4 linked regions of the Pelodiscus sinensis genome follow. The protein of the gene in region 4 interacts with the protein of the main gene of each other region in a pairwise test. Links are inferred from orthologs where the notes say so. Each region holds a gene or a part of one and is shown on either strand. Other genes may lie near its edges.

Region 1 (7,633 bases), on a different chromosome or scaffold from region 4:
TCTCCCTCCATGACCGTTCCACACAACATACAGGTCCATGGTATGTCTCCTAGCAGAGTAAATCATGAAGGTTTGGATGACTCTGTTTAGATGCAGTGAGGGAAGAGGAAGGATACAAAGTCCCTAGAAAACAGTGGTGAGTATTTCTCCCCTAACAGTCTACAGAAACACTGCTGATAAATGGCTACATGCTCTCTGCGGATGGGCAATGGTCTATGAGCCAGTCACTGGCAGCACAGCATAGGAACATATCATGCTACTACTGAGACTGCTGCTAAAATGCTTCTTTTAGGGGACATAGGTGGAGCAAAATGCACCAGAACCCGTTGTGTAGTTCTGCCTACCTCAGGAGCAGGTTGTGTTGGCTTTTAGCTGTTCTGCTCTGCTATGTGTCTACAGCAGGGGCCCAGAAGGTGTAAAGTCTGCTTCTATGGCTTTTGATATGTAAAAAGAAAGAGACATTCATGGACATTATACCCACAGTTATTGGTAAGGGTAGTGCCACTGGTTACACTGTGGGGATGTTTTAGCTACAAATCCAGATTAGATAAAACTAGCACTAAAACAGTTCACATAAAAACCAAGTGTACCCCTTTATGCCAATTTCATTGCTGTGCATCTGGTTAGGTGGTTGATACCTCTGGATATAATTTCCTTTTGTGTAGAATAATAGGCAAACTTATTGTTAATAGTTATCTTTGAACAACTCTACAGATTATAGAAGTATTCCTTTCATGCTTTAGATCTGCCACCTGTGTAGTTTATAGTAAATGTAATTTACCTGTTTTATCAGAAGCGAGCTAACATCTTTGGGCCAAGTTCTGCATCAGTTTATACCTTTGCAAATGCATTACAGCCATTTGCATAAATGGAAATAGATTTAGCTCAACATGTTGTAAATATAGAACAGCTGCAGACACAGGGGAGAAAAATTCTCTTATGTCATTAGAATCAAAGATCAAATCTTTGGACCACACTACAAACTGGGAGGACACGTTCTCTCCATTGAAATCCAGGTAGCAGGTCAAATCCTATTCACTGTAAGTGTTGTTACTCAAATGCCCCAGGTGCATGGGAGGTTTCCCAGGATTTATACTGAACTTGCTACGAAAGTGTAATGGGGAAGGATGGGGGGGAGGGGGGAAGCTACCTCAGACAAGAGAAACAAAGTTCTTTTCCTTTTCACCTTCCTTTGTGTAAAACACAACGCCCAATATTCCAACTCAGCCATCTCAAAGATTGTGTTCAGAGTACTGGCTTCTAATTTAGGGTTCCAACTTAACTGTGCCATTCCCTGCAACACCCCTTATGCCCCAATCTGGAAGTGCTTTCAGTTCTATTATTATCATACTCCAGAAGCCGCTCCCTCATTGCCACCAAAATGCTGCACTGCTTAGCTAATGTTACATAACTGTTCTGGCTAAGAGAAATGCCTAACTTACCCTTCCAAGGCTGAATCCTGTTCTCGTTACACACGTACTCCCATTGGACGTAAGATATCACGCACATAAAACAAGCCTATGTGACCCCTAGTATTTCCAGGCTGCACAACTGAATTGAATTAAAAATCCAAAGAAGGGAGAGAGCAAGCAGTGATCGGTTAGCAATACAAAGCTCCAAGTCATCAACAGGAGTCTTACTTTTAAAAGTACCATAAAAGCAAGCCTGTACAAGATATGGAACAGTTTTAAGCAAGGCAAGCAGCTGGTATATAAATAATACAGTGGCCTGCAGGTGTTTCTGTGAGATTCTGGTATAACAAGAGACACAAAAGTTTGTCACATACACAGCAGTTTCCATCAATTGTTAATTTCTTTTGTTCTCTGTTAATTTCACAGGCAGTTATAGGCAATATCATTTAATTTCATTCATTCTTTTTTAAAATACTGACACTTTAGTACATTACATCCTTCTAAAGTTGTAATAGAATCTTTCTGCTTTAATTTCTGCTGTGTAAGTTCAAAAGCTTGCCTGTCTCACCAACAGAAGTTGGTCCAACAAAATACATCATCACATACTCCTTGTCAGTCTTATTCTTGTGATCCCACCACAAATATTTCCTTAGAAACAATTGAGAAGCAATCTGGTTATGTGAGACACCTTCTTTCTAAAAGTATTCCCCTGTGCCAGCCTAGAAAGCAATGTGCTACTTATGCCTGGCTAATAAAGCTTGCTTTATATATCTACAGTCCTCTTACCTCAGAAAATGAAGCTGATGAGAAGGGAAAAGTCTTGTATTTCTACAGAAGCAGAACACACATGTCTTGACTGTATAGTGCTCCCAGCTCCAAGACAGCTATTAAATATAGTAGGCAACTAGTTCTTAGTTTAAGGAGGTGGGGTTGAAGTCTGGGTGGGAGGGACTAGAAAAATCACTCACTAAGCATGAGTCAGCAACACTACTTCACTTACCCTAGTTATGAATGAACCATGCAGAGTCACTTAGTGTTTGTAAGATAACATCATGAAGGAAATAAACATTGTGAAAAACAGCCTTAAAGGAACCAGACCTCTGTTGCTCCCACATGACAAGAATCCAACACTAAACAGATTTTAATTCTTTTTATTTTTTAGCCTAAGAGTCTTTTGTATAAATTAATCTGCATTGTATTGGGTTGACGTTTGAAGTTTATATTTATTTAAAACACTCAGCTGCCACAGCAACAATTATTGGTATTAAGGGTGGCAGGGTAGTACAGCATGCTTTCATTAAAACTGAAGAATCTTTTAGGACTATGTAGGGTCAGCAATACTGCAATTCCAGCTGATCACACAGGAGGAACGTCCTCCCCTTTTGGTTGATATTTTGAATTTCAACCATACTTCATTGAAAGAAGCTGGCTAGTACATATTAAATAAACACCACTGCCCCCTACCGAAATACTGAGAGACCCCGGGTCCAACTTCAGGCACACTGATGTGGGAATTGTCTTACCTACTGAAGATGCAGGCTCTCAAGACCTCCATTTACAATGCATAGATGTGCATTGTAACAGTCTAGTGGAGCGATTCAGTGGGACCTGGAAAAAAATGTTAAGAAAATTCATGGGCACAGGCTCAGCACTAGGACCAACTGTGGCTATCACTGCTGTTTGCCATAAATAAATCCCCCAAGCTCCCACAAGGTTTGCACACTTTCAGCTATTGTAGGGGAGACAGCCTGTGGGGATTGTGGATCCCCTTTGAGAAGACCATGAGGAACAGGAACTGCAAATCATGAGCTCAGTCTCATACGTATCCCAGCTACAGGAATGGATGCTTCTCAAAAGAGAACCCGGTAAAAGCCCAACAAGTCCAGGAATACACCTCCCATGGATGGGGGTAGAGGTGGGGAGGGAATTTGAACCTGGTGAAAGGAATAGTGTTACTACTGACATCTACATCAAAACTACTGGCCCAGTGGCAAAGAGGGTCTGGCCAGTTGCCTGAGATCTGTCAACCTGGAAAGCAAAAGAAGATGCAAAAGTATCACATCAACTTCCTGAAGACTCAGTGGGGCCTAGTAATAACACTATACCTAGCAGAGCCAGAGTTGGGGCATCAAGCCAGGAGACTGCAAGCCAGCTCTTGTTGTGACTTTGGAGGTGATTAAAAACACGAATGAAAGCGATCCTGATGGCATTCTGAATATCTAAGCAGCCAGTCACAGGGCCCTGAGTTGAAACCTGACAGAGCAAGGAGGGGCTGGGGTCCCCTACCACCAGCCATAAACTTTCCAGACTGAGAGATACTGCTGGGGTCAGACACTGAATCTTTAACTTTAATGTGCTTGACACTTCTTGCCATAAAATACAGTACTGTTAAGTCCTATTGAAAATGACTGACTTAAGAGGATGGAAGACAATTTTCAGAAACCCCAACTGCAGCATGTGCCACCAAGTTCAGATATGAATCTAGGCTCTACTCTGAGTTTCTCCATAGTTCAATACTTCTTAAAATTTAGAGTTTGTGTTTATTTCTACATAACTCCAAAGAGAGATTATCACTCTTTGTGGCCACATTCAATATTTCTATTTTACTTATCCAGTAATGAGGGGTTTGCTAGTTCCTCATGTAGAGGGTTTATTTATTTTAAACAGTCTATTTAAGAAGCTTTTTCCATTTCCAGGACTGCCACTCTCACCTCTTCTCCCTATATTGTAATCTTACTGACTTGTTCTGGCCCAGGAAGTCAATTACATCATTGCTAAGGAATGTCTCCTTCACACAGTGTTCATGAGGTATGGATAGATGTTAGTACTTTCTCTCCAGACTATAAATGACTTGAAGCAAAATGCAGGACAATGTAGCACTTTAAAGACTAACAAGATGGTTTATTAGATGATGAGCTTTCGTGGGCCAGACCCACTTCCTCACGAAAGCTCATCATCTAATAAACCATCTTGTTAGTCTTTAAAGTGCTACATTGTCCTGCATTTTGCTTCAACTACCCCAGACTAACACGGCTACATTTCTATCACTATAAATGACTTAACATTACTATATCACACAGTTTACTTGCCTCCACAGTAGGACCATTGAAAATAGCTTATCTTGGCTTGCTTTTGTTATTGTTTTCTTAATATAAACACCCCACTGACTCCACTCCAGGTTTGTTCTGATCTGTTTCTCTTTTTGTGAGTCTCCTGCATGTGGGAAATGGGAGGGTGGAATTTAACTCAGATTTCTTTCTGAGTCTAATGCAGTCTGTCACAATCTGCTAGCATGTTCCAGAAGAGGAAGCAAGTAGCCTGTGACCCACAAGTAGAGTTATGACCACCAGTTCATTTTTAGTCATTTGATTAATATGGCCCAGAGGAAAACTTTACAGACGTTCTTGTATAGAACATCAGTGTGACTTCCGTATCTCTAGAAAACAGCATTTTAAGGTTGTTTCTCTAAATCAGAAACTTCAGTTCACTTTGTTTTGAGAATTGGCACCAACTCTTACTCCAACGTTGCACATTTAAGTCTTATTTTGCTCAGCTCCAAACTCTCTCCAGTACAAAGCTTAATCTTTTGCAAACAATTAGTGGATAGGCAGTTTGCACAAGCAAGCGTTCACTGCCTCCCTTTACACTGCTGCAAGGCATATGGCATGCAATGAGTAGCATAGAAAGAATCAGATTGCCTCTGTCTAGCATGGCAAGCGGAAAAGATTTCTGAAACCAAAAGAGAAGGTCCAGTAATTAAGAGGTGGTGAACGGCAAAGACTTCTTTTTTCCCCTTAAACTTTCAAAATTTTACTATTAGAAATAAAGAAATTCAATATTTAAAACAAATTAACAGTAAAATTTAGACCCAGACAGACAACAGAATGTAAGATTTAATTCCATCCTCAGTTAATCCAGAATAACTCCTGAACAGCACCTGATCTAACAGAAACCCACCTGAATCCAACACTAATGTCTCAGTGACATTAAAGAGCAAACTGTTTGTGAAATAAGGGCTTGTGATCTTGAGGATCACATTTTGGCACATTAAGGGTTAACTCTGGTCTTACTGGCATCCATATTGGCATAAAGTTAAGTGCAGCCAGAAAGTTCCACACGAACACGCCTTCCATGCTGCGTCAGTGACTAAACAAAACTTCTCCATAGTGCACAAGGAAGTGTTGTCATGGGACTAATACCACTTGGCAAGGCTGTGGTTTGATGGAAGAGGGACAGAGTTTGCTCTGGATTTTGTTCCTTTAGCCCCAGTGTGTTTCACATTTTCTTTCTTTGGTCACTTAAGGCAGTTTATTCCTGGGAACTGGTTCAGATATGTAATTATATACTTTCTCAGGGTACAAGCCCACACACAGACAACCCATGGATGTCCCAGTCTGCTACAATACCCATGAGCTATTTACTGTTGCTACAGGTTTCAATGGCGTCAACAGAGACTATCTAGTTCAAATTATCCACCATTATATGTATGCCTTGTGCTTGAAGACAGAGAGAGCTAGACTTCGCACTGCCGGGTTCTGATCTTAAATGGCAAAATATCATCTTCATTGTCAGAAATCTCTCTGTTCTTTACATTCAGGCCATGCACGACAGGGGAAGAGTAATCTTTACTTTCATGTGCATCTTTATAGACTCCACCAATGCCTCTGGCATAGGTGAACCTTCACTCAATTCCAAACTCTCTTGGCATGCTGCTGTTTCACAAGTTAGCACTTCATGTTCCTGCCATATATATAATTACTGGGACATGCCCAGAGTGATCTATTCCATAGGCAAGGACAGTACTTTTACTGTTCAATGTTTCATCTAATTCCAGTAAAAATAAATATAAAAAGACTTCATGTTTTATTAGGCAAAGAAAATTTCCTTATTGGTGCTGCCATGGTTCTCACCAACTCCTGGGAAGCAGTCAGCTGAGACTGCTGTTCCAGCTGAAGCGCTGAAAGACCAAGCAAAATGCAGGACAATGTAGCGCTTTAAAGACTAACAAGATGGTTTATTAGATGATGAGCTTTCGTGGGCCAGACCCACTTCCTCAGATCAAATAGTGGAAGAAAGTAGTCACAACCATATATACCAAAGGATACAATTAAAAAAATGAACAAATATGAAAAGGACAAATCACATTGCAGAACAGAAGGGGGATGCGGGGGGGGGGGGGGGAGGAAGGAAGGTAAGTGTCTGTGAATTGATGATATTAGAGGTAGGGAGAGTGGGATGTTTGTGAGTTAATGGTATTAGAGGTGATAATTGGGGAAACTGTCTTGGTAATGGGTGAGATAGTTCAAATGTTTGTTAAGTCCTTGTTGGCAAGTGTCGAATTTTAACATGAATGACAGTTCAGAGGATTCCCTTTCAAGTGCAGATGTAAAAGGTCTTTGTAGCAGAATGCAGGTGGTCAAGTCATTGAGAGAGTGACCTTTCTGGTTTAAATGGCAAGAAACTGTTTTCTCTTTGTGATCTTGTCTGATATCTGTTTTGTGGGCATTAATCCTTTGGCGAAGTGTCTGAGATGTTTGTCCAATGTACATAGCAGACGGACACTTTCGGCACATGATAGCATAGATTATATTTCTGGATGCGCAGGAATATGTGTTCTTGATCTTATAACTCACTTGGTTAGGTCCAATAATGGTATCAGCAGAATGAATATGTGGACAAAGCTGGCAACGGGGTTTGTTGCAAGGGAAGGTACCAGGGTTGGTATTAGTGTGGTATGTCCTGTGGTGGTTGGTAAGAATCATCTTGAGGTTAGGTGGTTGTCTATAGGAGACTATGGGCCTGTCTCCCAGAGCCTCTTTGAGTATGGTATCCTGAAGCATCTTGGTTCTATACCTGCTCTATGCTGTACATAATGCTAAGATTTGGTCTGGTTTTCACAAAGGCATCCCTCCCCTCTGTACTTAAGGTTGGCTAATTTATTCTTATGAGTATGGGCTTTCACAACATAAAAAGCAAAGGTTTTCATTCCTTTATTGATGGATAGTGTGCAGCCTGGCATTGATGACTTTGGAAACCCTCAATGAACCTCACTCTGATTTGCAGAACCAGATACAGTCCAGAGACATCTCCTGCCTGCATCACAAGTAAGGCTCCCCTACCTGTACCAAGGATAAAATGGGCAATAGCAGGACAAGCTCCTCTGCAATTGCCCTGCCTGTTGTGCTTACCCCTGGCCTGGTTATTTCATCACTCCAGCTGAG
Region 2 (6,928 bases), on a different chromosome or scaffold from region 4:
GGAGTCTGGCAGAGCCGGGGAAGCAGCCCCCCTCCCCCGCGGCGCCGAACCCCACGGTGCCTCAGTTTCCCTACCCGTCAATGGGGATTCCGGCCTTGTCCTGGGGGAGACGGGCCGGTAATCCGAACATGACCCCTGCTCTATGTTCGCCTGAAATCTCACGCCAAGGGAGGTGTCTGGGGAACGCTGATGAGTCACTGTTGATGCTACTCACACGCAGGTGTCATGGTTGTACGGGAAGTGAGGAAGCAGAGCAGCAGCCAGCGAGTGGGGAGGGCTGGTCCGGCTGCCGGGCCCACCCAGCAAGAGGCAGTGGAGCTGGGGGGCGCCAGCCGCACTGAACGGACCTTCCTGCAGACCCTCCGTCTGGGGGGCAGCGCCGCGGTGGCCTAGGGAGGCCCGAGCCCTGGGCAGGGGCCGGCCACGGACACGCTCCACCCTGGGACCCACAGTGACAGCCCCATGGCCGGGGGATCCGGGGGCCTGGCAGCCCCGCCACAGGCCCTCAATCCAGCTCCGCACCGCCGGGTCCCTGCCAGGAAGCGGAGCCGGAAGGACGAGGGATGAGACGCCCCCATTGCAGGGGTCCTGGTGCCGGTGGGTGGCCAGGACCCGTGAGCCGTGGCAGCCGGAAAGGACGAGGGCCCATCGTGCCACGCTCCAGAGACGTGACCTAGGCCGGCAGATCGTCCATCTCGGCCGCCCGCCGGCACCAAGACCCCTGCAATTGGGGGGGGGGGGGAGTTCCGATTCCTGTCACCAATTCTAAAGCCCCCTTTTCTCATTAATAAGCCTTGAGATCGTAGATGCTAAAGGACGGGACCAGAGAGCTCTTGGGGTGAGATCTGAGGCATAAATCGCCCTGGGATTGGGAGAACCTGTTGGGAGGTAGGGGGGTGGGTCGTCACCTCCTCCCTGTGTAAGGGGGGCTGGGGGGGCACAGGGATCACTGGGGTGTGCGAGGGGAGGTGGGGGTTGGGTTAGAACCTCTCCCCTGTGTAAGATGGGGCTGGGGGGCACAGGGAGCACTGGGGTGTCTGAGGGGAGGTGGGGGATGGGTTATCACCTCTCCCCTGTGTAAGGAGGGGTTGGGGGGGCACAGGGAGCACTGGGGTGTCTGAGGGGAGGTGGGGGGATGGGTTAGAACCTCTCCCCTATGTGAGGTGGGGCTGGGGGGGGCACAGGGAGCACTGGGGTGTCTGAGGGGAGGTGGGGGATGGGTTAGAACCTCTCCCCTGTGTAAGGAGCGGGGCTGGGTGGGCACAGGAGAACTGGAGCGTCGCAGGCCATTGCCTGTGCGGTTTCTGGTTAACCAGTGTGGTGAGTAGCAGTGGTTTGGTGCCTTAGAGCGGGGGAAGCCAGTGCTGGGCTGTAAGTAACTCTGTCCATGAACACTTTGCCCTGAACTGAGCCTCTCAGTGATTCCCTGGTTACACCCTGCCTGGGAAAGCTGGACAAGGCAGCTTGGCGCGGGCGAGGCTCTGGCACGGCAGGGCGGGGCCGAGCCGGTCCAAAAGCTCAGCACTGGCTGGAGAGCTGCGCCGCAAGACCCGACACCCCCCACGCGGGCGTTTGCCGAAAACAAGCTGAAAGGAAGCCACGTGATTGCATCACCTCTGACCAGAACCTGTCCGGGCAGTGGGCGGGGCCCCAGACGGAGAAATGAGGCTCGGGCGAGGGGTGGGGTGAACCTCCTCTCCTAGGGCTCAGCCGCTCACCATGGGGATCTTGAGGGCGTTGATGTAGAAGGAATGAATCTCCCAGTAGCAGCAGATGTTGTAGATAAATTTGATGAGTCGATGGACCCAGAACACGCTGGCTATGACCAGGATGGAGATGAGGAAGCCGTTCTGCTGGATTCTGCGAGGGAGAAGAGACGACACCTGCAGCTCGGCAAGCCCACCGCGCAGCCGTATCCCGCGGGAGCCCGAGCGGAACTCAGTGCACACACCCACCTCTGGGGTGGATACACCAGCCACGTAACCATGCACAGAATGCCGCCAGCACGCACAACTCACAGGAACACATGACCCAGAACACAAGGCAGCCCGGCCACGCAGGTCAAGCCAAACCAGGGACTTGCAGCCTCTGAGAGCAAGGGCTGTGGACTACACGGGGGAGAGAATCCACCACTCCATCGACCTCTTTCCGGGAGAGGCCTGGGATCTCTGGCTCCGAACCTGGCCTGGAAGGGTGACAGGCTGCCAGGGCTGGAGGCGGAGGCGTGGCTGCTGCCCTTACCTTGCGCTGCAGACGCTGGGAGGCAGGAAGGCGTCTGGCAGCGTCACCTTGACGGGCTCGCTGGAGTGCTGGCTGTGATTCACCATCTTGTTGGCAAACAGGATGTCGTAGTCGACGCAGCTGACAAGGAAGGTGGTGAAGGCCACCACGAAAATGAACTGCCTGTGGGCGAGGCAGCGGCCGTGAGGGGAACGCTCCTCCTGCCCCCAACACACCAATAGGCCCCAGGTCCCAATGCCCCTGGCATGACATCAGCAGATTTGGGGAGCAGGGGACCAATTCCTGGGGATGGAGGTGGCCACCAAAGCGGGAGAGGGAGACAGGCCCTGACTGAAAGGGGAGGGCCCTGATCCCAACTCTGGGTGAGTGGAAATGCTGGGGCTCAAAGAAACCAGCCCTTCACCCCAACTGCAGCAAGAGCCCAGAGGAAGCCTGCCCCCGCCCAGCCCCCGAGACGTACATGAGCTCAAAGATCTCGCCAATCAGCATGCAGGTGAAGCCGTTCTTCTGATGCAGGTTATAGACGTGGGCAGCGCAGTCAAGGAGAACAGCCAGGAGACGGGCCCAGACCCCCTCCCATCCCGATCCTCTCACTGGCCACCAGTCAGGTCGGATGGCTGCAGGGCGAGGCAGGCCTGGCCTCCGTGCCCAGCCCAGGCTGAAGGCCAGGTTAGCCTGCCCCAGGAACCCAAAGTCCCGCCCCCCCCGGGGACACCCCATAGCCAGTAGGGTAGGACCTCGGCAGCACGGAGCTAGGAAAAGACGGATCCCGAGCCCAACGTCGTACTGACATAGGAGGTCCGGGCGGCCCATCAACGGTGGAGAAAGTCACTTCTGCCCCATCCCCCCGCCCCCCACAGCTCCTCTCCGCCCTTCTCCTCAGGAAGGGGAACCTCGGCTGCTTGGCTCGTCTGGAGGCCTCCGGGCCGGGAGCAATGCAGCCGCCAAGGAGATGGGACTTGCGCCAGCTGTTCCCACGCTGACCTGCCTAGACAGACTGCGGGCCAAGCTGATGCTGCTCTGACCACCCCCCGTGCAGCAAGGATATGCGAGAGAAGAAGAGGTCCAGGTTCTCTATGTGATGCCAGGGAGCTGCAGGACAGAGAGAAGGGAAAGGGGGTGATGGCCCATCACGCTGCAGCCTGCCCCCGGGAGGGAGGGGTGGGCGCTCACTGCGGGCTAGTTGTTCTTGTGACACAACGGAGGGCAGCGAGGGGGCCGGGTCTACGCAATCCCCCCAGGCTGGCGGCCGTGGGCCGGAGCGGATCCCTGCCCGCCAAGGAACTGAGCGATTCCTGCCCCTCGCACATGCCTGCCCCCACCCAGCCCCACCAGCCCCCGCTCACATTTACTGCCCTCGGGGACGTGCACCAGCAGGTCCTCCTCCCCCGGCGGCGAGTCGCTGTAGGAGGCCTCCAGCCGCTGGTACTCGGTGTCGAAGTGCGCCATGTCACCAGCCGGGGGGGCGTGGAGCGCCGGGGCCTGGGCGAGAGACCGAGTCAGTGGGGGGGGGGACTGAGCGGGAGGGGGATACTTGGTGGGACAGACAGGGGGGAGAGAGCGAGTCGGGGGGGGACAGGCCGAGGGGGGAGAGAGCGAGTCGGGGGGGGACAGGCCGAGGGGGGAGAGAGCGAGTCGGGGGGGGACAGGCCGAGGGGGGAGAGAGCGAGTCGGGGGGGGACAGGCCGAGGGGGGAGAGAGCGAGTCGGGAGGGGGGAACAGGCCGGGGGGGGGAGAGCGATTTGGGAGGGGGGAACAGGCCGGGGGGGGGAGAGAGCGAGTCGGGGGGGACAGGCCGGGGGGGGAGAGAGCGAGTCGGGGGGTGGGGACAGGACGGGGGGGAGAGAGCGAGTCGGGGGGTGGGGACAGGCCGGGGGGGGAGAGGGCGAGTCGGGGGGGGACAGGCCGGGGGGGGAGAGGGCGAGTTGGGGGGGGACAGGCCGAGGGGGGGGGGAGAGCAAGTCGGGGGGGGACAGGCCATGGGGGGGAGAGCGAGTCGGGGGGGGACAGGCCGGGGGGGGAGAGAGCGGGTCGGGGGGCGGACAGGCCGGGGGGGGGAGAGCGAGTCGGGAGGGGGACAGGCCGGGGGGGGGAAGAGCGAGTCGGGGGGGGACAGGCCACGGGGGGGAGAGCGAGTCGGGGGGGGACAGGCCGGGGGGGAGAGAGCGAGTCGGGGGGGGACAGGCCACGGGGGGGAGAGCGAGTCGGGGGGGGACAGGCCGGGGGGGGAGAGCGAGTCCGGGGGGGACAGGCCACGGGGGGGGAGAGCGAGTCGGGGGGGGACAGGCCGGGGGGGGGGAGAGCGAGTCGGGGGGGGACAGGCCGGGGGGGGGAGAGCGAGTCGGGGGGGACAGGCCAGGGGGGGGAGAGCGAGTCGGGGGGGGACAGGCGGGGGGGGAGAGCGAGGCGGGGGGGAGAGCGAGTCGGGGGGGGGGACAGGCCGGGGGGGGAGAGCGAGTCGGGGGGGACAGGCCGGGGGGGGAGAGCGAGTCGGGGGGGGGGACCGGCCGGGGGGGGGAGAGCGAGTCGGGGGGGGACCGGCCGGGGGGGGGAGAGCGAGTCGGGGGGGGACAGGCCGGGGGGGGAGAGCGAGTCGGGGGGGGACAGGCCGGGGGGGGGAGAGCGAGTCGGGGGGGGAGAGCGAGTCGGGGGGGACAGGCCGGGGGGGGGGAGAGCGAGTCGGGGGGGGGGACAGGCCGGGGGGGGGAGAGCGAGTCGGGGGGGGACAGGCCGGGGGGGGGGAGAGCGAGTCGGGGGGGACAGGCCGGGGGGGGGGAGAGCGAGTCAGGGGGGGGACAGGCCGGGGGGGGGGAGAGCGAGTCAGGGGGGGGACAGGCCGGGGGGGGAGAGCGAGTCCGGGGGGGGACAGGCCACGGGGGGGGAGAGCGAGTCGGGGGGGGACAGGCCACGGGGGGGGGAGAGCGAGTCGGGGGGGGACAGGCCACGGGGGGGGGAGAGCGAGTCGGGGGGGGACAGGCCACGGGGGGGGAGAGCGAGTCGGGGGGGGACAGGCCACGGGGGGGGGAGAGCGAGTCGGGGGGGACAGGCCGGGGGGGGGAGAGCGAGTCGGGGGGGACAGGCCGGGAGGGGGGAGAGCGAGTCGGGGGGGGGAGAGCGAGTCGGGGGGGGGACAGCGAGTCGGGGGGGGAGAGCGAGTCGGGGGGGACAGGCCGGGGGGGGGGGGAGAGCGAGTCGGGGGGGGGAGAGCGAGTCGGGGGGGGACAGGCCGGGGGGGGAGAGCGAGTCGGGGGGGGGGACCGGCCGGGGGGGGGAGAGAGCGAGTCGGGGGGGACCGGCCGGGGGGGGGAGAGCGAGTCGGGGGGGGGACCGGCCGGGGGGGGAGAGTGAGTCGGGGGGCGGACCGGCTGGGGGGGGGGAGAGCGAGTCGGGGGGGGACAGGCCACGGGGGGGAGAGCGAGTCGGGGGGGGACAGGCCGGGGGGGGAGAGCGAGTCCGGGGGGGACAGGCCACGGGGGGGGGAGCGAGTCCGGGGGGGACAGGCCACGGGGGGGGGAGAGCGAGTCGGGGGGGGGGACAGGCCGGGGGGGTAGAGCGAGTCGGGGGGGGACAGGCCGGGGGGGGGAGAGCGAGTCGGGGGGGACAGGCGGGGGGGGAGAGCGAGTCGGGGGGGACAGGCCGGGGGGGGAGAGCGAGTCGGGGGGGGACAGGCGGGGGGGGAGAGCGAGGCGGGGGGGAGAGCGAGTCGGGGGGGGACAGGCCGGGGGGGGAGAGCGAGTCGGGGGGGACAGGCCGGGGGGGGAGAGCGAGTCGGGGGGGGGACCGGCCGGGGGGGGGGAGAGCGAGTCGGGGGGGGACCGGCCGGGGGGGGGAGAGCGAGTCGGGGGGGGACAGGCCACGGGGGGGAGAGCGAGTCGGGGGGGGACAGGCCGGGGGGGGAGAGCGAGTCCGGGGGGGACAGGCCACGGGGGGGGGGAGCGAGTCGGGGGGGGACAGGCCGGGGGGGGAGAGCGAGTCCGGGGGGGACAGGCCACGGGGGGGGGAGAGCGAGTCGGGGGGGGACAGGCCGGGGGGGTAGAGCGAGTCGGGGGGGACAGGCCGGGGGGGGGAGAGCGAGTCGGGGGGGACAGGCGGGGGGGGAGAGCGAGTCGGGGGGGACAGGCCGGGGGGGGAGAGCGAGGCGGGGGGGGACAGGCGGGGGGGGGAGAGCGAGGCGGGGGGGGACAGGCGGGGGGGGAGAGCGAGGCGGGGGGGAGAGCGAGTCGGGGGGGGACAGGCCGGGGGGGGAGAGCGAGTCGGGGGGGGACAGGCCGGGGGGGGGAGAGCAAGTCGGGGGGGACAGGCCGGGGGGGGAGAGCGAGTCGGGGGGGGACCGGCCGGGGGGGGGGAGAGCGAGTCGGGGGGGGACCGGCCGGGGGGGGGAGAGCGAGTCGGGGGGGGACCGGCCGGGGGGGGAGAGCGAGTCGGGGGGGGACCGGCCGGGGGGGGAGAGCGAGTCGGGGGGGGGGAGAGCGTGTCGGGGGGGACAGGCCGGGGGGGGGAGAGCGAGTCGGGGGGGGACAGGCCGGGGGGGGGAGAGCGAGTCGGGGGGGGACAGGCCGGGGGGGGGAGAGCGAGTCGGGGGGGGGACAGGCCGGGGGGGGAGAGCGAGTCGGGGGGGGACAGGCCGGGGGGGGGAGAGCGAGTCGGGGGGGGACAGGCCGGGGGGGGGAGAGCGAGTCGGGGGGGG
Region 3 (7,671 bases), on a different chromosome or scaffold from region 4:
CTTTATTCTAGACAGTAACTGCAGATCTGCTGCCTACACTCCTTGCCTGGCCTCACTTCCTGGCTTTACAATGTTATCCCAACTTCCCTCCTTTACCACAAGCTCTGCTTCCTCTATCATTAGGCCCTATCACTATTCCTGGAGTGGACCCAAAGTTTATCTAAGGTTAATGGGCCCCTTCTGATCCATATTAACTGGTCCAGGATGTGTAGGATGGGCCTAGCATCACTCACTTGTTAGATTTATAGGTATTGGAGCTAAGTAGCACTCCCCAGCTTGAAGTGGTTTCCATCACACAGAGGGTTTACAGTTTGGGTCAATGGATCTCGACACCTCCACTATACAGCTTGTTCCAGCCCCCTTGTTTAGAGACCATGCAAACCTGGGCAAAATACAGCCTGTAGGCTGGATCCAGCCTGCCAAGCCCCCAGATCCGGCCTGTGGATGCTGCAGTGAGCCCTAGGCAGGCTCCCTGCTTGATGTGTCCCACCCACATGCTGTTCAGAAAAGCAGCTGCGAGGCCATTTCTCTTTAAAAACTGAGAACCCTGGGGGAGGGGAGAAGGCTTCAGGCACTGCTGCTGCCCCCAGCACAATCCCATTGGCTGATTTCTGGCCAGAAACCAGCCAATTGGAGCTGCCTGTTTTAATGACAGACAGTACACAAAGCACCATGTCCCCCTCCCCTCCGTCTCATAGTTATTCACACAGGCACATAGCCCTGCAGCCTGCGTGGGGGCAGGGTAGGCTCCCTGCCTGCCTGAGAAACGTGCTGGGCTGCTGGTCCAGGGTCACTCAGGTAAGTCTCCTGGACAGAGCCTACCTCTGGCACCCCAGCTCTTCCCATCCCCAGTCCTCTGCCCTGCTCCTGCATCCATATACGCAAGAGCTCTCAGTGGCCAGAAAGCTGCAGCCCCTTATTTGTCCTGTCAGCCACTTCTTTGAATGAAAGTTACTTTCAATCATCCAATGGGTAGTTGGCCAGTTGGGTGCCCCAGATCACAATCCCCTCTTTCACTCAAACTCCCTCCCAGACCCCACTCTCCCTCCTGCACCCTAGTCCCCTCCCCCAAGCTCCCTTCTGCACCCAACCTCCATCCCAGACCCCAAACTTCCTCCATTAATATCATGGAAGAGTGCAGCCCTTGACCACTTCGCAAAATTTTTGAGTACCCCCCCCATCAAAAATTATTGCCCATCCCTGGATTGTTGTGCTTAAATTGGGGCACATTGGAGGAGAATTGTAGACTAGCACCTGCAAATGTGTAAGTTAATGAGAGGCAGGTTGTAGGCACAAAATCCCAGTTAGTTTGGCTGAATGATAAAGAGAGATGGCAATTCTGAAGCTGTTTTTGGAATTTTTAGGAATTTAAGAAAGCTGTTTTAGGAAATTTTTCCCCCCCAACACGATGTAATGTCAAATATGCTATTAAAACCTCCATGATTACGTTCAATAGCCAGTGGGAGACTATCTGTGGGAGCAGAATGGCAATCATGTACCATTCTGTGATGGCGAGGAACAGAGACATGGTTGAGGCTGTAACTTGGAGTAAAAATGTGACATTTTAAGAAAAGAAAAATTTAACTAAATATTGCATAGGGCTATAAGAGTGAGCCCCCTTGGGCCGTGGAATAATCTCCCAATGGAAGTGGGGGAGAGTCTTATTGTTTATGAGACTTAAAACTAAATTGGACTAGCCACTTGAATTTATTTCTGGGACTCATCGTGCATTGGTAAGTGGATGGATACGAACTCACAGGCTTTCCCCACCCGTAAGACCATTATAATATTTCTAAATGTTAGACTAGGAGAAAATCTAAATATTCTACCCTAAAGAACAATTTTGCCCTTTCTGACTTCATAAAGAAAATATTTAATCAGCTAACTTGTGGGTGTCTCTGTATCCTACTTACGAGAGAGATGCAGCGTTCTGTTCTGCAGCATAACCACAATTTTCCCTATCAGTAAAATACCTAAATGTAAAAGAGATTTTTCTTTAGACACCGACCATGTTTTTTAAAAGAACCTGAGTTCCATTTTCACAAGCGCATAAGAGCCTGGCTTTTGTTTACTTTCAGTGGCCCCTCACGAGCCAGGCTGTCAAAAGCATTTACTGTAGATGTCTAATGACACAAATAGCTGGACAGCGAGCCTTTCTAAAGGCCTACACCCCAACTAATCCCCAGAGCTGCTCTCACACTTGAAAATCCTACCAGGCACCTAAGTTTCCTCTAAACTGTGGGGCTGCACAGCTTCACATTAAGCCCTGCTCAGGGTATCAGTGTTGGAGCAGGGAGAGACCCCTCTCTCTAAGTCCTGATGCTGATGAGGGGTGCCCTCTGCCTCAGCTTAGAGCTGAAGTGGCTAGCGGAGCACCCAGGTAAGCTCAAGATCCAAACCCTTGCCCCACCTAGTGCCCCTTCCAGCCCTGAGTACCCTCCTGCTCCCCAAAGCCCTCATCCCTGGCCCTACCCCAAAGCCCACACTCCCAGCCCAGAGCCTGTACCCTCTCCTGCACTCCAACACCCAGCTCATAGCCCTTCCCCAAACCTGGATCTCCCTCCTGTACCTCAAACCCCTCATCCCTAGTGCCATCCCAGAGCCTACACCCCCAGCCAGAGCCCTTGCACCCCAACCCTCTTTCCCAGCCCTGAGCCCCTCAGCTCAGCCTCACTCTGGAACCTGCATCTCTAGGTGGAGCCTTCACACTTCTGCACCCCAACCTTCTGCCCCAGCTCTGAGCCCCTTCCCACACTCAGAGCCCCTTGACCCCACTCCCACCATGTGAATTTTTTTATGTGCACCAAATGAAGATGATGTCACAGCACTTTCGTGTTGCACAGCACCTCCGCACTGATGCACATAAGAACATTCTGCTCAGGAGTGGGAAAAATTACAGGGAACGCTGCCAGGCACCTAGCTACATCTTTTACATATCTAAATACCTGTGAAAAATCAAGTCCCAATCCATGTTGGCAATTTAAAACCTTCTGATTTGGGACAGATTTCCTTCCGTCAAACCTCCTCACCACCACTGATGTCAAAGAGGGTTTTTCTGAAGGTGCCAACAGCATCTCCAGATGGCCTTGTGTGTCTCTCTTCTTTTGCTCACTGCTTTGTCTCTTTTACTTGATTTTTTTTATACCTTTACCCAAGCTAGTGCCTGTGACATGGGCCTTGCTCATGGATTAATAGGAAGATAGCATATCCTTGTTTTGCGTGTATGATTTTATTTTTCTCCCTGCACATGGGGTGAATCTGTGAGGGGACAATGGAAGTTTACCCCTGTGGTCCAAAATCAAGCATTCCATGCTGAGCTGTCAATACCTATGAGTTCATTGACTGAATATCTCTGTTCCATTTTGACTTGGTTATAATATTCCATATAATATTCCAGAATTGCCACTTATTGTCTAGGATGCAAAGCAAAACATAGGGGAATCTGAATACCATTACAACAGATTGACTTCATTTGTGACAGTGGCTTCTTATCCCATTGTGTGGATTTGCAGAGGGCTCCAGGTTTGTTTTCCATCTCCATGCAAGTTTTAAAAAATTACAATCACCACTTGGAAGAAGAGCCTGAAGAAAATGAGTGTTGCATGTAACTTTTCTACTAAGCTGGGGAAATAGACGTAATGCATTGCCCAGGAATGTAGAATAGCAGGTGCCATGCAGCACAGAAGAGCAACAACTGCCTAATGCTTTTGATTTCTGGATATTTGAGGCAGGGGAAGGGGAGACGTGAGAAACAGAGACAGTGTTTTATGTACATTTTACTGTATATTTTAATTTACATTTACTGCCATTATTGTAGACACTAGGGCTGTGTCTAGACTGGCCAGTTTTTCTGGAAAATCAGCTGCTTTTCCGGAAAACTTGCCAGCTGTCTACACTGGCTGCTTGAAATTTCCGCAAAAGCACTGACTTCCTACTGTAAGAAATCAGTGCTTTTTACGGAAATACTATGCTGCTCCCGTTCGGGCAAAAGTCCCTTTTGCGCAAAACTTCTGCGCAAAAGAGCCATTGTAGGCAGCTGAGATTTGTTTTCCGCAAAAAAGCCCCAATCGCGAAAATGGCGATCGGGGCTTTTTTGCACAAAAGCGCGACTAGATTGGCCACAGACGCTTTTCTGCAAAAAGTGCTTTTGTGGAAAAGCGTCCGTGCCAATCTATACGCGCTTTTCTGAAAATGCTTTTAACGGAAAACTTTTCCGTTAAAAGCATTTCCGGAAAATCATGCCAGTCTAGACGTAGCCTAGTAGAGACTATACTTGCTGCCATCAGGGTCTGAACAGAATTGTGGTTTCGTTTTTCAAAAGTAACTTAAGAACTGTGTGTAACTTTCGTCTTGATAATCTTCAAGCTGCTTTGAATGGAAGGCAGCAATTTCAACACAAAGCTGCCCAAAACTTCATCATCTGATAGGTTTCATGCTCTTTTCCCATGACCTTGCTTCGAATTGACCCCCTCGAGTGACACTTTTGAAGAATTAAAAGCAACATGGTATCAGTACTTTTATATAAAATGTTCACATGCACATTGATTATATGCACATTAGCCAAACAGCCTCTCTTTCTGTTGCTAACAAGCAAAAATTCTCTTGAAAAAAAAAACCCACAGTGCAAAAGGAGGAAGTAAGGGACTGTTCTAAACTGAGTGCAAAGAGCTAGTCTTCCTCTTTGTTTCCTACCATCTTGTCTCACGGTGGTGTTCTAACAAACAGCAGCAGGATAAACTTAGGTGGATTAATTAAATCCTCGCACGTGCAAGGTTTATTTTTTCAGACTCAAAAGCCTTTTGTTTGGCACTAATTTTGAGCTTATTTGGAATACTGCTTTTGGCTTGTTCCAGCAGGAAATAAATCAATTCAAACTTCTTGGTGTCTTCATCTGCAAAAGTAAGTGTTTCATGTATATTATGGTAAAGTATAATTAGGAGCAGTAAAAACATAAGCAATAGTTCAGGGGAAATTTGGGGAACCAGACTGTGAAGGGGAAGTAGAGGAAAAGCTAGGTAATTTGAACTATTAATACAATTGGTTATTTTTCTACCAGAACCATCTTATCTGCTATTTTCAGCCATTAAGGAACTGCTGCACTACAGCTTGTAGTATTCTAGCAATTTTTGACCTCGCTAAAAACTTTCATTAACTAGTCCTAGAGATTGCAGAAAAATGAATAGTTCTGGTCTTTGAGATCTACATTTATGATATTGTCTCCGTAACAGAGAACCAACAGATGCCATTTTTCTGGAAGAGTGAAAAGTAAGGCCAGTATGATTTAAAAATTCCAGATCGCTCTTCTAGTATTTGTTTTATTCCAAGTGGTGTTCATCAGGTACAAGTATACAATGCATGCCTGGATGCAGTGCCAGAGAAAGTGGCCTGGTAGTAAAGGAAACATAGAAAACATGGTCTGCAGAGCAGCAAACACTCTCCACCTCCCACAACACAATTAAGGAACTGAAATAGAAAAAAGATTCCAAATGCATTCACGTGCCCCCATGATGTTAGTGCAGGCAGTTGTCTGGGACGTGTACAGACATCCAGAGGTGGGAGGGGAGTTGTTTAGCACTGAAACTTACTGTATCAAATTTTTGAGCTTTTTGCTGGAGCCGGGGTACTCAAACTTACTGGCCCACCAAGCCACGTACAATAATCTTCACAGATGTGGCAGGGTGGTGGGGTCACAGGGCACCAAATCCTGACAGGGGCCTTCCAAGGGGCTGGAGCTCTGAGCCCCCCTCCATTGGGCAGAAATCCTGCACCCCACTGCGGGGCAGAAGCCAAATAGGAAGGAGTGGTGGGTATCCTGAGCTGCACTATAATTGTAAAAGAATCACACTGGGCTCACGAGCTGCAGTTGGGCCACTAGATTGTAATGTGGAGCCTGATCCAGAATGCATCGTTATTATAATAACTAATGATCCTCTGAAATGCTGAGGCCCTCAGTTCTCAGCTGAGCCGATCATTGAGCCCGAAGAGTGTATTTACATTTGCTGCCACCAATTTTTAATCTCAGGCCTGTTCATGCATGACGTCAAGAACTTCCTGTGACAGGCAGAGATCTGCAACCCCTGTAGCAGTAGGTGCTCAGAATCTTGCCAGTTTGTCAGACATTTGTATGAGGTCCTCCCTGGTTTTCCAGCATGTCCACACAGCTCCTTAATCAATCAGAGTCAGGGTTCCCAGGACCCAACCCCACAGCATTCTGCACCCAGGTTGTCAACTGCCTAATCGCACAAACCCAAGCGCTCTTGCTCTCCAGGGCACCATTTTGGGAGGCCAGGAGGGCAGCAGCCCCCGTCCCCCTGTCAGGGAGTGAGGGGAAAGGACGTGGCCTCTGTGCATGCCTCTCACTCCTGGCTGGTGAAGGGAGGGGGCAGGGGATTAAATCCTGGAATGCAAGTACTTTCTCTTTGCTCCCTGATAGTCAGGGGAACGGGAAGAAAAGGAAGCTGCGTCCCGGTGCGCACGGCTGCTGCCCCACTATGCCTCCCGAAATGGCGCCCTTGCTTGCTCTGCCCCTACCCCACCCTTTCTCCAGTCTCCATCACTACTCCAGCCCCCTCCCTCCATTGCGCGTTATCCCCCACCCTCACTCACTTTCCCTGGATTGGGAGTGGGAGGAGAGGCTGGCTGGGGGCTGGAGCTGAAGGGCTCAGAATGTGGAAGGGGACTCCAGGATGAGTCTGGGGCAGGTGGTTGGGGTGCCAGAGGAGGTGCAGGATTTGGTTTCCTTCGGGAGTTTGGGTGCAGGACGGGAGTTTGAGGTACAGGCTCTCGGTTGGACTTTGGGTGTGGGAGGGGACTCAGGGCTAGGGGAAGGTGCAGGAGGAGGTGTGGGACGCAGGCTCTGGGCAGGCTCATGCTGAGTGGTGCCTGAAAGTGCCATCCTGTCCCTCCAGGTCCTAAGTTGGGGGCAGCCAGGCAGCTCTGCATGTGGGTACTGGCTCCAGGGCTCCCATTGGCCATGGTTTCTAATGGGAGCTGTGGAGTCAGTGCTTGAGGCAAGGTCAGCACACGGAGACTCCCTGACTGCCCCTGCACCTACTTGCTGCAGGGACATGCTGGCTGTTTCCAGGAGCTGTGAGGAGCCAGGGGAAGCAGGGAGCCTGCCTTAGCCCACTGCACTGCCAGCTGGACTTTTGGCCCATTGAAATATCCCAGGTTGCTTTCAATAGTAACTGGGAGATTGAGGCTGATTCCAGGAGACTCGTGGACCATCTGGAGGGGGTTGGCAACCCTATTGTGAACCCTTGTAGGCGTGGGGAGTGAGAGAGTGGCAAATACAGGCACTGTGCAGGATAGCAGAGAGTCCCTGAACTGTACAGTCTAATAGACAAGGCAGACACCTGGAGGGGAATACACACACCGCGTGACCAGTATGGCAGTGGCCAATGTCTTGTTTGTGCTGTAATTTCTCCAGCCATCCCTTTTTGGGGGGTTTCGGTAGAAGGAAGTTTGGTAACTGGAAAGAAAAGTGGCGAGGGAAGGAACACTGTGGTGAAGGAGGAGGGGAAGGCAGGACAGGGTGAGGATGAGGGCAAGAAGGGCAGATGTGGTATGGCACAGCATCCTCATTCCTCTGGTGAGTTAGTCATACAGTGGGTCCCAGCTCAGCAGGAAGGGCAACTTCCACAGGGCCGCTCCACCCACCCCACTTCCTGT
Region 4 (7,587 bases):
TCTTGCCAGCAATCACTCTAATTCATGCAACCAGTTCTAAAACTAAAAATTATTAAATCCTTATGAAACATGCCTGAGGACAAACTTTTCAAAGGATGTGGAATGCAAGGACTTTGCTGAGACCAAGAGAAACTAAATTAGAACTTTGATTCCTATGGCTACCAAATCTGTGATCACTTTCAATGGTACTGCCTCTCCCTTTCATACTAATTTATTTTGGCCATCACCTCTTCTAATTTGAATTGGGATCAGTTAAGCACTAAGCTGACATTAGCCAACTGATGTTTGCCCCAATCTGAGACATATACTGTAAATTTAGTCTCTTTATTTGAACAAGGATTCATTTTTCTTTTATATTTCAATGAGCCATTTTGAACATTATCAGAATCTTTTAATGTTTTAATTAATTCAGATGTTATGTTTGTTCATTAACTTATTCCTTATGGCTACCTAAGAGCTACTTGGACAAGGATTTAATATTGCTTCTAAAAATTGTGATTGTCGCCTTTTTAGCAAAACATCTGAAAATCTTGGCTTATTATTCTTAATGAATAACAAAAATAGGCCAAGATTCTCAGATGCAACTAGTGACTTAGGAAGGGAGGCACTCCATTTTTAGGTGCTCAACTTGAGACAATGTATAGGCACTGTACACCTACCCTTAGAAAGTCATATCCCTTTAAGATGTCTGAAGTTGGGTACCTACATATTTAAGCAGCCAAAAATCACTAGTAATTTTCATAACCTGTTCATGTGCAATATATATTGAGCCTCAAAAATCACTGCATGCATGAATTAGTTAAGACACACCTCTTAAACAACTGGGGCTTTTCATGTTATATTAACTCTTGCAATTAGGACATTTCTGGGTGATTGAAATGCAACTCTCTCTTACCCTCAAGACTGCCACAACCCACAAGGATCAGAGGCACCAACTGTCCAATATGGTGACCATTTATTTTTATTTAAAAGTTTTGCTACCTTCTTTCCAAGGGATAAAATGACACCTTTAAGGCCCTTTAGGAATACCCATGCTCACAGTAGAAATAAATCTCATTCCCAGTTATGACAGCTGAGAAGGAGCCTGGGTTCCTTGGATGCCCTGATAGGAAAAGGAAGACTCTCCAAAGCTCCCTCCCACTGGCAGGCATTTACTCTCCTCCTTCCCACCCCTCCTCAAAAAAACCCTGCTTTATTACAGGGAAGGTAAGGCAGGATAAGAATCAGTGCCTTCCTCCCAGATGTTAAGCAGCAAAGGAGGGAACAAACTAGCACCCAGGGAGAGCTTCGTACAAACAAAGCAGTCAGATGTTTGTGAAAAGGGGGTTAGTGCTCATCCACCTGTACCATGGATGTGAGTATGGAAGGGATCTAGCAAGCCTATTGCAGATGTCAGAGCAGTGGATGGAGCTCATGTCTACCTAAGGAGTAGGTTCTCAGAAGAGGTTCTAAAATGGGCTCACCCCCCTCTCATGCCACCACCGCTGGGTTTTTTTTTGTTAAAGGACATTCATATTGATCAAATAACCAGCTTTTCCTCTCCCACCTTCAACCAAATGACAGCTGAGGGAAAGTGAATGTGACTGTCCCTTATATAATGTTTGTTATATTCTCCTATATACACTAACTGCAAACAAAACAGAACATTGGGGTTGCATTTTCAAATGTGAATATTCACAATTAGACAACTAAACACCTATTTTAGGCATCTTAATAGGGATTTGGGGACCTAACTCAGATATTTAACTGTTTGAATACAGATTTAGATGCCTTACTTTTTAATATCCAAGTCTGAAAATTTGGTCCAAACTGTGTCAAGAAAATTACTTGAGTATTCATAAACGTATTGTTTAATTTTGTTCTTCTACCACAGAAAATTTCACATGGTGTAAATTTTGTGATAAGCTCAGGCACAGGCATATTTGTGTGTATATTTTACACTTGTTTCATATTCTTCTCTTTGATTGATTTATCATAGAAAGTAGTAGCGGAAGGAGGAATTTTAAATGTTGGGGACATGACTATAGTGAAGTGAACAGAACTACTGACATTTACACCCATGGTGAATTTGGTCTTATAAAATTCTGCCGGCATTCTTACAAAAAGCCACACTTGAAACTCATGTCATGTGAACAGACTTCCTCATCGACTAGCTCTCACACGGCTACTTCCCTTCATCAACAACAACAACAAAAATTAATTCTTTCCTTCACCACCTCTTCCTGTGTGTCACACTCAAGTCATATTCTCATCAAGGCCTTGGTGGAGCTGTTTTTGTTTAGGTCGGTGCGCACACAGTAGACCCTGAATACACAGCCATGTCAGATTCAGAAACTTGCCATTGGGCGAGGTCAGATAATGTCAATCGAGCCTCTCTTGGCAGCAGATGTCTTCACGGCAGGAATAGAAGGCAAGTGTCTTCTGCCAAGCCCAGAGCTCTGCCCAAGCTGGGTGAGGAGGGCACGCCAGCCCAACTCACTGCCGGTTGTACGGAAGTTAGGCACCTCGTCACACGCTTGCACTGTTCGCAGCCCCCCAGGTGACCTCTCCTCACCCGCTAAGCCCTTCGGGGCTTCAGAGGCTTTTGCACGCGTACAGGAGATCGACGCTACAGCCTGCAGTGCAAGCCCAAGCTCCGTATCACTGCATGTCCCCACACTGCACGGGGCAGCCCTTCCACCGGCCGCCCCGCCGGGGCTCGGGCTGCAGAGGAGCTGGCCCCACGCAGCGAGCGCAAGGCGCCCTATGGAGAGCGCCCTGCAGCCACTTACCAGCCATGGTGCCCGCTCAGCCCGGGACTCTCCGCGGCGGCGGTTCCGCGCTCTCCTGATGCTCCGGCTCAGCTGGTCCCGGCCCTACCTCGGCCGCTCCTCCCTACGGCTGGGAATTTCCCGCTAGGGTGACGGCTTGGTGACGTCGGACTCAAAAAGGCCGGTCTCCCCCCCACGCTTGCTGCGGCTGCCCTGTGCTGTACGCTTGAGGGGAAGGGAGGGGAGGGATGATCTCAGCGGGGATACACCTACCTACAGTAGCAGCAAGCTGTCCCCTCCCCCCTCCGTGCTACAGAGCTACATGCAGTGCCCACACGCCGCGGTGTAGCGATCTGCTGGCTGCTCCCCGCCCCCAACCTGCTTCCTCCAGCTGCACCTCCTCGCATGCCAGGCTGACCCTCGCTTGGCTGCTAGAGTGTAACATACGCCTCGCATGCCAGCACTAGCTGGGGCGCTGTCCTCTGTTGCCACTGGCAAGACAGGTTCAGGCGGTTCCTGATTCACTGTCAGCTTGTGGGGTAGTGTGAAAGTGCCCTCTCTGCTGGGCATGCACAGATTTTCCTCTTCTGCTTCTATCTCACACAAATACACACAGCCCCTCTTCACACCGTACAGGTACCCCATATATAATTATAATTCACACACACGGGGTAGCCACATTGATACCAAGAGACGTGCTTTTGAAATATCTAAAAGTGCGAACCTCAGACGGGACAACTTACAACTTAAAATACAACGAATAGTCTTACAGCACCTTAGAGACTAACAAAACATGTAGATGGTATCATGAGCACAACCCACATCTTCAGATGAAACACAGTAAGTCAATTCAACAGTAATCTATGGGCATGACAAAATTCACAATGTTGCCTATGTGTAAAACAAGCACAAGATGTCCAGGCAATCGTCCCACTTGGGTGCAATGCATTACACTCTCTCACACTGCTGCAGTATCAGTATCAAGCAGCTCCATAATCATGGTTGCAATTGAATGACCAATTGAGCTCCTTATTTCCCAGACTATAATAACCAACATTAGTAGATTAAATATGATATTTTTAGCAAATTTGACAATTGATTCCTCAATTGTGACATACTAAAAACAAAGCTGCTCTCCGAGTTACGAATAAGTTACGGATCAACACTTGGTCCGTAACTCAAAGTGTTCATAACTTGGATCCCAGAGAGTTACATGGTGACCGCACTGTTCGTAAGCGCAGATCGCCGTTCGTAACTCGGATCCGTATTTATGACTGCTTTGGTTGTAAGTGCGGATGGTCGTAAGTGGAGGTGGTCGTAACTCCGGGAGTGGCTGTAATTCAAGATTTTAACATTTTTTTCATGCCTGCCCCAGTTTAAGCAGTTAACCAGTTAACCATAATATTTTTCCAGTTAACAGATTAAATGGGATTTTACATCCCTAACTCAGTCCTACTACTTTAATTAGTTGAATTGGAACAGTTTACAGACATCCCTTGAACTTTGCAGAAATCTAGATTCAGGTGCCATACTGGCTCCAACCTCCATGATTTGCAGAGAGGTCAATGTTGAGCGAGTCTAAAAGAGTAAAAGAATCCCTGCTCACAGATTTTTTATTTTTTTTTGGTGACGTGAGGATTACTTTGCACTGAGCTAGCAACAAGTTTTTAGCATTTAAATCTTTTAATTGAGAATGTTTCAATCATACATAATGGCAAGTAATAAACAACAAATCTAAAGTAACATTCTTGAACAAGACACATTAAAAATTAGTACAGTAACGATGGCTTGAAAATGTACTGAAGAATAGCACTGAACTGATATTTTCTGTCATGTTTCTTCCTATCTCAGCCTTTTTTATTTTAAACTAGGCATATTAGGATAATACATTAAACACCAAAACAGGAAATCATATTTTTTAAATATTTAAATTCAAACATACCAATTTATGACCTGAAGTAAGAAGGATTGGACAAATTGTAGCATAATATTATTTTCATCATTTTGTAGGCCAATGCAACCCAATGGAAGTAAATGAGAATCTGCCTACATCAGGTATGAATTTGGTTCCATGTTTCTAGACATGCTCTCCCTATCACTTTGTACACTGGGCTAAAAAAGCACTTTTCCTCCCTAAATATCCGTAGTTGACTTTTCCTGTACTAGCAGGTATGTAAAATTAGAGACTTTTTTTCCCTTTACAAAACAAAATTAAAATTTGCAGGCTTCTGTCTCAATAATATTATCTAAATTCCTAGCATCAGTACTTTAGCTGGTTTAAATCAACAGAGCTCCTCTGCTTCTAGAGAACTGTGCCTTTTACACCTGCCAAGGATCAGGACAAGTATGTTATGTATTGCACATCTATTCAATTGTTAGCATGGTAGGCTTTATTACATATGTACTGGGTGTAGTACAAATTAATTTATTAAACTGTATACATAAAAACTAAATAAAGAAATCCTTTGGATTAGGCTGTAAGATTATCCAAATCTCTATTCTTTTGCTCCTGATTAAAGGTTTGAAAGGGATGAATGGCTAGATCATTGAAATTCAGTGGTCCACAGATGTAACAAACATTGTTTGTATATTTATTGCTTGGAACAGGAATACATATTGATTTTTTCCCCCAAAAAATCAAAACTTCAGATGTATTGTACTTGTACAGCACCTTTCACACATATTGCATCCTAAAGCTCTACAGGGTTAGGAGTGGACTTTATAAGATGCTGATTGAATTAAGCACCTAAATGCCTTTGAGGATTTGGACCTTAGATACTAACAGGTGTCAAACAAATACCCCAAGAAAGGTATATTTACATGGGAGCCATAGTTTAGATTTTCTAACACAAGTCTGATTTTACAGAGAGAAAAAGAGAGAGATTTGGAAGTGATTTGGATAAGGGGTTCCAGAACTATGATAGCTTGGAAAGAGTGGATTGATTAATTTAAAAAAATATTCTAATTTTGTTGCCACTTTGTAAGTAAACAAAAACATCCATAAAGCAAGAGAGAGGAAAAAATAAAATTCAGTCTTTTAATAGCTGAAATTCTGTGTCCAACATCAAATTTTAGGTGATTAAATTCTAATGTCAAAAGTGAATTTACTTTTGCATTGCTAACATTGCTATGGAATATCTGCTCTAAACTGGTGAACTTAATTCAGCTGAAAATATGTTCTGACATGCAAAAGGTCCTGCCTATTATATAACTGGTTTTGACAGGGTAATAAAAAGGAAAGGGGAAGGCTACAGCCTCGCTCCTCCCAGTTGTTGATCCTGGAAAGACCCTGAGTGGAGTCAATTTATGCTGGGTTTTAGTTTTGGTAGTAAAACAAGGCATGAAGAAAGAGATATGAAGTAAAGTGTAACTTCCCCAGCTGCTAAGCGTGCAATCCAGTTTACAAGATGTCACGGAATTAAGAGAGACTTATGGTTTCAATACAAAAGAAAAGAAGAAGAAGCCTCTCTCTCTTTCCCTGAACAGACAGATCTTAAGAGGAAACCTGACCACTAGAGAGGCTCCTCAATGGAAAGGGAACAAAAAAAGGATTATTTCCAACCAACAGTTCACAGAATGGGGATTGCTGGTGAACCTGTCATGACTAGTGAGAGTCTGTGAATCCTGAACCATGTGTAAGAATGTTTCAGACTCAGAAGCTAGTTTTGGTATGGCGGAGGAGCTAGAGCTGCAGGGAACTTAGGATCCTAATTAGAGAGGTTCTTCCCTCCCCCTCTCATCCTGCTATTGCTGATCCCCAAGCCTCTTCCTAGACATATTTTTCCTCTCCCCCTTCCTATGTGCTATAAGAAGAGACCATTATCCAGTTCTTCAGAGGTCTCCCCCTCCTGTCCAGAAACTGGAGTTAGGACACTTAGTAGTCAACATGGCATGGGTTATTCCCTTTTCCCCTATGCCTCCTAACTTCTGCAGGACTGGATCTCTTAGGGCTTGCAGGAGCTGGTCCATGGGCCCATTTTTCAAACTATTCCTAGCAGGCACATATCAGTGTCTGGAGAGCATTCTGCAACCCAAGAACATTATATTTTTAAAAAATGACAGTACCTAGAAAATTCAGGGTTAAGGTTGTGCTCCTCAAAACAATGCTTCTAACGACCTTAACTCTGCCCCCATAGAAAGAACTGTCTACCTTGACATCACATAAGAAAACTTAATACTGTATAGAAACATTTTGTTGCTGACTTGCATCTATTGTAGTTTTAATTTTATTTATCTGAGAGCTTATTCATGTTTGAAGCTTAACAGAGACTGGGCTGAGCTACTCACTCTCACTTAGAGAAAGTTCTCTAGACACAGCAATGTGAGAGAGCTCTCACAGCAATGGTGTATAGTACGGCTACCACAGCACAGCTACATTGATAGAAATTCTGCTGTAGCATTGTAGAATAAATGCTTCCTATAGTGACTGAAGGATTTTTTCCATCACTATAGATGCTTCATTTCCCCAAGCAATGTCAGCTGGTTACCAGAAGCATTCTTTCATTGACTTATCTGAGTCTGCAATGGGGGTTGGGTCATCATAGCTATGGTACTCAGGCATATACATTTTTCACACATCTAAGCATTGCAGCTATATTAACCAAACTTTTAAGCATAGACCAGGTCTTAAAGTAGGTGTACACATAACTGAGTATAAATGAGAATCAGTCCCCAATAGTCCAAAAATTATTTTACAATGGCCAATTAATAAATAAATCTTTCAATTTCCACTGTTCTCACCAAACCTCATTTTAATTATTTTAAACATTTAGCAAAATCAAATACATCATTTCATCTCATCACACACTAATTTACTCTTGCTCACTCCTCCCCCTCC

The links.
Region 1: the proteins of REL (region 4) and OSGIN1 interact in binary tests that used the Homo sapiens proteins (3 or more experiments, as listed by UniProt). The two-hybrid records come from large-scale screens. The link is inferred for Pelodiscus sinensis from reciprocal best matches to the Homo sapiens genes REL and OSGIN1.
Region 2: the proteins of REL (region 4) and ATG9A interact in binary tests that used the Homo sapiens proteins (3 or more experiments, as listed by UniProt). The two-hybrid records come from large-scale screens. The link is inferred for Pelodiscus sinensis from reciprocal best matches to the Homo sapiens genes REL and ATG9A.
Region 3: the proteins of REL (region 4) and PARVG interact in binary tests that used the Homo sapiens proteins (3 or more experiments, as listed by UniProt). The two-hybrid records come from large-scale screens. The link is inferred for Pelodiscus sinensis from reciprocal best matches to the Homo sapiens genes REL and PARVG.

What each region holds. Positions count from the first base shown.
Region 1 is NC_134722.1:38,364,389-38,372,021, forward strand, and holds the start of OSGIN1 (oxidative stress-induced growth inhibitor 1), read right to left. Parts: upstream 3,021-7,633; 5' UTR 2,936-3,020; intron 2,354-2,935; exon of another isoform or gene 2,199-2,353; intron 435-2,198; exon of another isoform or gene 345-434; intron 1-344. UniProt on the Homo sapiens protein: Monooxygenase catalytic activity. Involved in regulation of cytokinesis; promotes RHOA activity, probably acting locally at the midbody in late cytokinesis.
Region 2 is NC_134717.1:16,891-23,818, reverse strand, and holds the start of ATG9A (autophagy-related protein 9A), read right to left. Parts: upstream 3,004-6,928; 5' UTR 2,962-3,003; coding exon 2,702-2,961; intron 2,404-2,701; coding exon 2,242-2,403; intron 1,861-2,241; coding exon 1,719-1,860; intron 1-1,718. UniProt on the Homo sapiens protein: Phospholipid scramblase involved in autophagy by mediating autophagosomal membrane expansion. Cycles between the preautophagosomal structure/phagophore assembly site (PAS) and the cytoplasmic vesicle pool and supplies membrane for the growing autophagosome.
Region 3 is NC_134711.1:121,883,409-121,891,079, forward strand, and holds the start of PARVG (gamma-parvin), read left to right. Parts: upstream 1-4,665; 5' UTR 4,666-4,899; intron 4,900-7,671. UniProt on the Homo sapiens protein: Plays a role with ILK in promoting the cell adhesion and spreading of leukocytes.
Region 4 is NC_134713.1:180,083,572-180,091,158, reverse strand, and holds the start of REL (proto-oncogene c-Rel), read right to left. Parts: upstream 3,014-7,587; 5' UTR 2,779-3,013; coding exon 2,772-2,778; intron 1-2,771. UniProt on the Homo sapiens protein: Proto-oncogene that may play a role in differentiation and lymphopoiesis.